Drosophila melanogaster: one gene and its partner. Changing the gene in region 2 together with the main gene of any one other region gives a genetic interaction. Each region holds a gene or a part of one and is shown on either strand. Other genes may lie near its edges.

Region 1 (5,044 bases), about 18 Mb from region 2:
CGCATATCCATACAGTAGATTAGAAAACAATAAAGAACGTTTTTTTTTTTTGTAATTTTCGGTTAGTGAACCATTTGCTCTTTTCCTTAATTTTGTACGTCCAACTCAACTTTACTTTTGGTTGCGATTAACTTTGACTTGATATTTATTTTCCCAAGCATTTATTGGAAAAATCAATCAGATTCGATATAACCGCCGACAACTATTAGTTATTATCCTCTAGATTTATTCAACAGTATATTTTTTTTACGAAAACTTAGTTCATATGAGCAAAACAACAAATGTTTACATGTTTAAGAAGCAACATAAAACTTTAAAAGTCAATTTATCTGTTCCAGAAACAAACAACGTTTCTGTAAAGATTATTATTATTATAATAACCGAACCTCCCATAAATTTAATCATCTTGTTTTTTGCGTCCCGTTATCGGTCGCGACTCTTAGTCGTTGTTTGCTTATCTGCGCTTTAAGCTTGCAGCCGCCATTCAAGCTAAATACTGACGGAAAAGTGTCGATGATAAGAGCTGAATCCCATTGTGTCTACTATCATGCGCTTCCATTTGAATCAATTCCCATTTCGGTTGGAAAGTGTTTGTCGCCGAGCAAGAAAAAATTGCATGGGATTCGAGGGGCGTTGCACATTTCACAAGCCATCGCAGATGTTCGCCGTCCTTTTGCTTCATTTTGTTTGGCTGACGGGCGCCAGGCCAGTGATTCATTTATACATAAATAAGAACAAATTTCAATAAACAGTAAATGTGGAAAATTGATCGGTCCTTGTAAACGAAACTGGTGAGTTTCTTAACGAGCACAGTGGCCTGGGGGTGTCACTTTATGACAAAACGTTGAAATCGCTGAGTAGTTAAGACATTTTGAATGAGTTATTTAGTTAAAATTCGTATCCGCCCTTTTTGAAATCTTCACTGATTCACATATATTTCGAAAATATTTACAGTGCTCGGATACCAAAAGCGATTGGCGACTTCTGTAGCGTAGTTATCGCTGGGGTCAATTCGCATGCTTATGCTCTTAAATACATAAATAAATAAATGTGTCGGGTATCGAGACTCCACTGTAGTGGGGGACCATTGATACTTAATTTTAATTATTATTGCCCACTTGTGTAGCTGGTTGAAATATTCTGGGATCTTTTCAATCGGTGTAAAGCTCATTAAGTGCTGTTGTTTCCGTGAACACACAACTGGTTTTATCATAGGACAAAAGTTGTTAACAAAAGAAAATAGAGAAAATAGGTAGAAGAAATATATTTCATGCTACCTGCTGACGTCTTGTAAAATGTACGGACTGACTTTTAACTCAGGTTTAATTTATTTAGACTTTTGGTAACTGAATTGAGCATAACGTTTTGGATAAAGTAATCAACTTGAATAAACAGCACATGTGGCCAAATTTTGGGTTATATTGGAAATTGGTTTGCGGCAACTGCAATACAATGTTTATGTGACAAGTAACGCCCCACAATATTGCCCTCTTTTATTCCCATTTACTCGTAGCCATATCTGATGAGTCATCTGAAAAGTGCCAACAAGCTAAATAAAAGGGGGTCAAAATGCGAGCAAAACTAGCCAAAAAAACAGATTCCAACGGGAATGAATGTCGTTAGGATATGGAGCTCTTTAGAAGTATTTGCAAAATTCAAACGTGTAAGCAAATCCAGCAAATTAGGGAAGACTCTTGCATAAATTTAACAAGCAATGACACCGTGACAAACACAATCCCTGCTTTCGTAGGCGTTTTAAGCCATTCAAAGCCCCTACAAACACACGTGCACCCGTGGGAAAGTGACGTAACATTAGAGAGAGAGAGAGAGTGTGTTGGTAGAAAGAGAGGGGAGTCCAATCAATGACGAACGGAGTCCACAAACACCAGCAGCTGAGCCACAGATGCAATTTGAGGGTGGTGGTTTGTGTTTGTGGGACTTTGTGGACCGTAATCAGTGGTTTCGTTTTCAGAAAACTTTGTGATTTATCGCACAAAAACAAAAGGCACGTGAAAATGGAGCGAGGAAGCCAAGAAACCCGAACTGGTTGCATCTGAATGTTGTTGCTAAATTACTTTTGCAGCGTACTAACTGTGCCGATGGTTTTTATATTTAGGCTACATTTAAATTTTTTATTTTCTTTGCTAATTTGTTAGGCACTCCTTACTTTAGTATATTATTCATTCCAATTTTTATTATTATTAAAATTTAAGTTAATTTCTAAACAGATTTTATTGCGACTTATGTTTGCAAATAAAAATAAATTAATTTTAAAGCGTTACAAAGTAACAATAATATTTTCGTGTGTTTGATGGGTACATTTCCACTAGTAGCACAAGGCTGTGCCTCTTTTCTCTCTGTGTTATAACAAGGAAATGTAACGGTGATTTACGCAATGAAAGACCAAGAGAGTGGGCAAGGGAAAGAGATAGACAGGGCAACTCACAGTCCAAGTGCTTCTTCTTCGGGCCAATGCATTCCTCCGTGGTGGCCTTGCAAACGGACTTGGCGAGTCCTTGGCCCGCAAGGCTGTGACGGGCGGCCAGCAGCCTGTCGTTGATCGTTTGCCCTGCCATGGTCATGATGAAGCTGTTGCTGTTGTTGTTTCTGCTGCCGCTCGCTGGTTTTTATTTACTTGATTAATTTAATTATGCACCAAAGGAGCTGACCACACCGACACACACACACACTCGAAAGCAGATACAGAGAGAGGGAGAGAGAGACACACACACACACGCGTATGGGGCGAGCGAGAGACAGAGAGGTATTGATTGATTGAGAATATTTCGAACGGGAAAACTCTGCTATGCGAGCCTCACGATTAAACTAACAGTAAAGATTTAGTGGTTCCTACGTCACAATCACTACACAATTTATCGCCGCGGTTTATGCGCTCTCTAACCGGTGCCTAACGCTGAAACGCGATTTTTTAATTCTCTATTTTTCCTCTGCCACAAATCGATAATGGCGACTGGCAAATGGAGCGAGCGTATGAGCAATGTCCTAAAGCGTCCACAAAGTGGAGCTAACGCGTGCAATCGACTTGAGTTTACGGCGTTAGGTGGGAAAATATCGATTGCCATAACGTAAGCGAATACGAAATAGCTGAACTTAGCTTTTACGATGTGTTCATATAAGTTCTGAAAATAAAAAAAAATAATGATAAATAAATAAATAAAAATATAAAATATTAAGATACTATAAATAAATCTTTTTTTATAACTTAGCACTTAAAATTCCCCAACAGCAGTTAAAAAGTAGCTAGATTTGTCGGAAGTGTAGCCAAACGTAACGTAAGCTAAGGGGCTGTCAACAGGAATTTTTAGTTTCGAGTAGGCGGTCATACTGGTCATTAAAATAAATAAAATTATACTAAAAAACAGTAGTTAGCACAATCAACAGTCTCGTAATAAAATTGTAAGATGTTGAATGGACAGATTGCACACAGTTATTTGGAGAACTCGTGCACGCTGATCATACCCCGCCCGCCTGTCCTGAATCAGTCCTCAAAGTCGGCCCAGCCAGCAGCAGCTGCTGCTGCTTCTTCTTCCGCTGGTGAGGAGTTTGGTCAGGAAGCGGGGTCGGGGTTGGCGGAAGCGGAGGCGTTGCATGTGGATCGCATAAGAAACTGCGATATATTCGTTGACGCGCACGATCTTTATTTCTACGCAGATGTTAAGCTGTACAAGTGAGTCACATCCGGCAATCTGTCGTGCCCATGGTGGGCCATGGTGGCGAAATTCCAGCGATATCATTGCGTACTTGTACTCCCTTTTCGGACAGATTCCACAGCCGTCGCACCTTCGACTTGCGAGAGCTGAAGACGCTGTTGATAAAGTTCAACACGACAGAGAATCACTACCAAATTTGCCTGCGCTGTCTGCCCCTAACAGCGGGTGCCCAGGAAGGACCCGGTGGAGAAAGAGGCGGAGGCGGTGGTACGGGGGATGCAGCCAAGCAGTGGAATAGTCGCAAAGAGTACATAGCCGCATTCCTGCACCTACCCACACTGAGTGCCAATTTGCCGGACAAGCAGCCTCTGGTGCAGGAATGGAAACTCAAACGAATCACCGATCAGTGCCAATTGCAGCTCGACGACCACGAGCGCACCTACAAGCTGACCAACAATTTTGGGTACGGCTATGCTAGCGAATACAGCGGACCGCTAGACCTGAGTGAGGTGAGTTCAATTGGTTAACCTGCTCTTCCGCGCACTAAACACAGATGTTTTCACAGTTGGACAGAGCCACGTGCCGCGTGTCGGAGCCACATCGCATGAGCCCCATCCAAAGGCGGCAAGAGCGCGTGGTCGATGAGATGAAGCGCTTTTCCCGCGAGCAGTACAAAATAAATTTTGTGGAGCTACAGGTTCCGTCCGGTCACCAGAATCCTTTACGCTACAAACCGAAAATCTACGAGACTTCCATGACCCAGGAGCAAGCGCATCTGCTGCACAACATCAGCCGAATGCAGACACGGGAGCAGCAGCCGTGCGACGTTTTTCGGCAAAACGAGATCGATTGCGGGCTGATAAGCATTCTGTTGGCCATATGCTATGATGTGCGGACGACGAACAATGAGCCGACGTGTGAATCGGGCTGGACGCGAAGCATACTGTGCCCGCTTTATTGCTACTTTGAGCAATTCGACAACTATCGGGACGTACTGGTTGCCTTCCTGCGGCGAATGATCACCTACCCGCTGTACCGCAATTTCGAGTTGGGCCGCCAATGTGTACGGGATGCCATAGAAGTTTTAAAGGGCGGTCGCAACTGGTTAATTAATCAGCTGCTGCTAACGCACCAGCAGTTCGCCAGCAGTGATCCCAGTCGCGATAGCTTCAACAACTACTATTTGGAGGACTATATACGATATGTGACCAGCCCGAGCGCCTGCAGTGATGAGCACATGCGCCTTCTTGCCCGCAACCTTAAGAACGTGCTGATGGACGTAAACAAGCAACACTTGGGCCTGGGAGTGACCGAGATTGAGACTGAGCTGATCAAGGAGCTGATGCAGGAGATGCGCATCGATGCGGGAAGCC
Region 2 (4,586 bases):
CGTCAGTCATTTAGCCACTCAGTCAGTTTGCCAACCTGTCTCTGTTTGGCATCACCTGCCATCGCCATCGTCTGTTGTCTGTTAATGTGTTTAATGATGCCCTGGCCATCGGCGATCTCAGTTCAGTTTTCATTTATGCTAAATTGCGACTCTTATGCTGCGCTGCAAAAAAGCTGAAATATTAGCCGTCCTCATTATATAAGTACAGACACATTGAAGATAAGCATAAAGCACAATTACAAGCCGAATAAAAAGTTAGTAAACTTAAATCCTTTGTTGGTTTCATTTTCGAAATATGTTATTGATCTTACAAATGATCTTAAATGCCATTAATTGATTTATAGTTCTTAGTTCTTTGATCAAGCTTAAAAAGGATCTGGTTGAAAGAAATGTAATAAATTTCATGGTATCTTTTTCATAGCTAAGCGATCAGCTCTGCTCAAGGTGTGACTATGAGACTCTGTGCCACTCCAGATGTGTCCGGACATGCCTCGTGCCTCAGCGATTGTCCTGATGCGCGATATGCGGGCAGCGCGGGTCTTCGTCTTCTGGTTTCTTCATCGATCTCTAGCCACGCGCCGCAACTTTCCTCGCGACTCTCGGTCGCACTCTTGCCGCCGATGCACCTGCTCGCCAACCAAATGTAAACCCAACTGGCCACCGAATGTGGGCCGCCCTAATGGAGTTGTCCCCGGGCCCAAGGTTCGCAACTTTTACCAGCCTGCTCTGGGCGATCATTAGCTGACAGAAGGCCTCACTCGACGGACAACATTTTTTGGGCTTTAAGTCTTAGTTAAAACTTCTTTTTTGGGCTTCTAGGGGATCTTCTATGCATTCGGAAGGATACAATTGCTGATGTTGGGATATGTACCTATAGTAAGTCAGCAATGAATTTGCTTTCATAAATATACATTAAATCTTTTAAAGTGTATCCTTTACGCAGAACTTTCCATATCTAAATATGTCTCTTAAATTTAAAAATATATTATAAATTATTCTAGAAGTATCCTAAAAAAATCTATTAGGTGAGGCTTTTGAAATCCTTCAAAATCAGTGGCTGCATCCTTATTTAGACAGTCTCTTTCTCGTATGACATAACATCCCCCTGTTCTACGACATTCCAGAAGCCTTGTTAGGGAAACCTTTGGTCCTTTCTGGGAGAGTATCAAGCGATTCGGCGCAGAGAGCGAACAAAGATCGAGGTACCCTTTATTTTTCGAGAGTAAGAGAGTTCATACGAGTTGCTAAGGATATAGCTATGCATCTTATTCTGCATTTAAATTTAAACCAATACACTATGAAAATCCTTAAACAAAAGTATAATTTATACACATATGTATGTATACTTAAGTTGTTATATTTTATGTCTAGCTAACGTCAGACTCCACGACTTGAAGTGTTACTTTATACATTCTATGCCCCTTAAAAGGCAGGTAGTAGGTATCTAAAAGTTGCCACCCCTGCGAGCTGCGTTCCTTTTTGCAGCCGCTGCTTCTGCCGGCGTCGGCAGAGAAATTCGAGTCTGAGTTCTGAAGTCGTTTTCGTTGAGGCGACGAGCTGAGTCGCCGCTGTGGAGGAAATTCAATTGCGCGCAATCCATCGGCGGCGACGGTTGTGTCTCAAAAGAGCCTTCCAACTCCTGACTACTACTGATCAAAAGAAATAAAAGTAAAAAGTGACCAAGTTACTGCGGATCGAGGAAGTTAAAGCCTTGAGCCTCCGGCACGACGATGGTGTGTTAAACATTTTTGTGCGCTTGTGTTTGTTTGTCGGTGAGTTGAGTGCGCGCGCTACTTTTATTTGTTAACTTCACCAAACAGAACCGTTAGTCCCAAGTGCCCTCACAAAAAAAAAAAAATAGAAAAACACCAACTAAAGGAAAAGAAACATCATAAACCGACGAAATATCCCCCAAAGAATCTGTGTAAAAGTGCAAAGAGACAAGGCGGAGAATGCGCCCGAAAAAATCAAGGAAAAAATAACAGAAAAAACATTTGGCTGGGTGCGGTGATCTTGAACCCGGGCTCAACTCCGCGTAACGGTGCATCGGCAAGTGCAGGAAGAAATGGGTGAAGATGGAATAGAGGAGGAAGGAGGAGAAGAAGGATGAGGAGCGCGATGAGGCCGTTGCATTTCTTTTGATTGCTTGTGTATCATCTTCGGGGATCTCTGAGCGCCCACTCTTTTTGCGGGCATTTTCCGCTCATTTTTGGCGCAGCCTCCCAAAAGGTAATCTCCCCAAGTTCCCAAGACCAGCGTTATAAAACTGCCGTTAGTTTTTTTATGTTTAACCGTTTTTGGGCGCAGCCGCGAGGAGTGACTCTCTCCTGCAGATAATTACGGCAAAAAGGTGAAGAATTTATGCTGACCATCAAAATAGCTAATAGTTGGAAGTTAAACTAAAGCGCTCTGCTAAAAAGTCTTTTTGCGCCCAAATGATTGTGCATATAGGCGGGGAAAATGGCGATTTTCCTGTCGCCTTTTGATTTATTTACATGTGCTTTTGCAGAAGCACAAAGAAATAAGAAGCCATTCTTTGTGCAGAAGTCAAACAAACATTCTGACTCATTCTCTTCGCGCTCTTTTTTGTTGAACTTTTATTTGTTTTTTAACATGAGCCCCAGTGCGGGAGAAAGAGCAAGTAAAGTTAAAGTAACGGACAAGGAACATAAGCATCGTCATCGCCCCCAGTTCTTCTCCTTATCCCTACCATCATCACGTGTCGCCAACTCTGTTCTTCGCCTACACAGACATAAAATGTGAGGATCTTAATTTAAATTAGAATGGCAGTTGTAGTTTTTAAAAAGTATTTAAACTAAATATTAAACCAGGATAACTTATTTATTTTTCAAAATCTTCACACTTTCTTCAAGAAACCGATTGATTGAATAATCATTTTGACGAACTTTGATGATGATTCGTATAAGCTATTTCTCTCAGTGCACGCTTTTTGCTCTGGCCATCAGCCATGTCAGCGCCTTCATTATAATAATTTTTATTGCTTTTGCATAAATCAAAAATCATGGAAAAAGAAACAACTGGCAATCGTAAAATGTGAAGAGAGGCTACAAAACATAAAAGGTGCGTTTTTCGACTGTCTGCACTAATTTCACAAAATGTTGTTCGTTGGACCCGCGTTTTCCTTTTTTTTCTTAATCCTCGCATTTCCGTTACTGTTGCTTTTGTTTTTGTGCCAAATCATTGCGGTCTCTGCATACAAATTCATTAGTGACGGCCCCTATTCTTTGCTCTTCTTGCTCCTTTGGAAGAATTCTCCATCTTCACCTTCTCCACCTCCCACACACTCTCGTTTCTGGGAATTGCCATTTTTGTTTTTGTTGTTGTTGGAGCACCTTTCTTGCAGCGGATTCTGCAGGAACTCACACGGCGCCCTCTCTTCTCATCCCCATTTTTTACAAAGCCTCCTTGTTTCTCGCTTTTCTACAGAATTATGCACAAGGCCTAGGGGCAACTTTCTTTTTGTGTGTTTTTAGTTCACAGTTGATAGGCAAAACTTCTGGACCTTTTCAACTCAAATGTAGATAATAGGAAATCAAGGAAAATGCTGCAGTAAAACTACTTTCTTGATGTGAAATATTATTTATACACTCATTTCTTTCCTATACTATTAATTATAACAATTCATGGGTCATGTAAGCATTTATCGTAGTCCATATCAATCAGTCCCAATCTGTCTTTTGCCACATTAGTTTCCCATGGAGTGAACATAACCTTCTAACGCAACAAAGCTCCACATTCCCTAAATAAATTTCAACACTTTGTTTTGTAGCTCTTTCGGAGTCTACAAAACCGAAGCGCACAAAAAATTAAGATCAAATTTTTACCAGCTGCTTAGTTTCAATTTCTTTTTGCTCGATTCTGTCCTGATTACTGTAACCAAAAATGTGACCCACACCCCCTCCCAAAAGCCCACACTTTGACAATTTGGTCACTAATTTTAGGGCCCTATACTCCGATGTCTGAGCGAAATACAGTTGTCGGTAAAATTTTATTGATCTTCGTTTTTTCTGCACAAAAATATAAAATTGTTTCATGGTCGAGGCTCGTCGTTGCTGTTGTTGCCGACGAAATCGAAATCTCGCCAAGAAGCAAACGGCAATCAGCAAATCGAATTCAAAACGCGTGTGTGGAGGGAGGAAGTCCCAGATCCCAGAAGAAGATCCCTTAAGAGAGCCCAAAGAGACGACTCCAGACTTGAGACGCGCCACGACAATAACAACAACAAAGCCGCAATCAGCAAATACTTGGTTTAGGCGGGCCAATACACCGGAAACAATCAAGACTAATATTGACATGACATACCTTAACTAAAATCACTTTGATAGGTGCAAAGATAGTTTCAAGGTTCCAGTCTATTCAATTTATATGTAATTATTTATTCAAATTTGGCGAGGTTATTAATTATCTTATTTGACCGTTATGACTGGGTAATATTTGGCAGTGTAGCCACTGTCCCATCGAAGAGCCACAAAGGGCCGCCCGAAAAAATATTTTTATCTTGATATTTCTGTTTTTTTGCCGCTGTTTGTTGTTGTTGCTGTTCTAAATACGCCAAAAGTTGCTTT

What was found.
Region 1: of jigr1 (region 2) and lap, changing one enhances a phenotype caused by changing the other (phenotypic enhancement), as found in Drosophila melanogaster (one study listed by BioGRID).

The regions. Positions count from the first base shown.
Region 1 is NT_033777.3:7,184,950-7,189,993, reverse strand, and holds the start of lap (like-AP180), read right to left. Parts: upstream 3,001-5,044; 5' UTR 2,583-3,000; coding exon 2,447-2,582; intron 1-2,446. Other genes in the region: CG10055 (uncharacterized protein), read left to right, coding at 3,423-3,688, 3,784-4,180, 4,237-5,044. UniProt on the Drosophila melanogaster protein: Assembly protein recruiting clathrin and adaptor protein complex 2 (AP2) to cell membranes at sites of coated-pit formation and clathrin-vesicle assembly.
Region 2 is NT_033777.3:25,636,301-25,640,886, forward strand, and holds the start of jigr1 (jing interacting gene regulatory 1), read left to right. Parts: upstream 1-1,542; 5' UTR 1,543-1,772; exon of another isoform or gene 1,773-2,229; intron 2,230-3,492; exon of another isoform or gene 3,493-3,653; intron 3,654-4,586.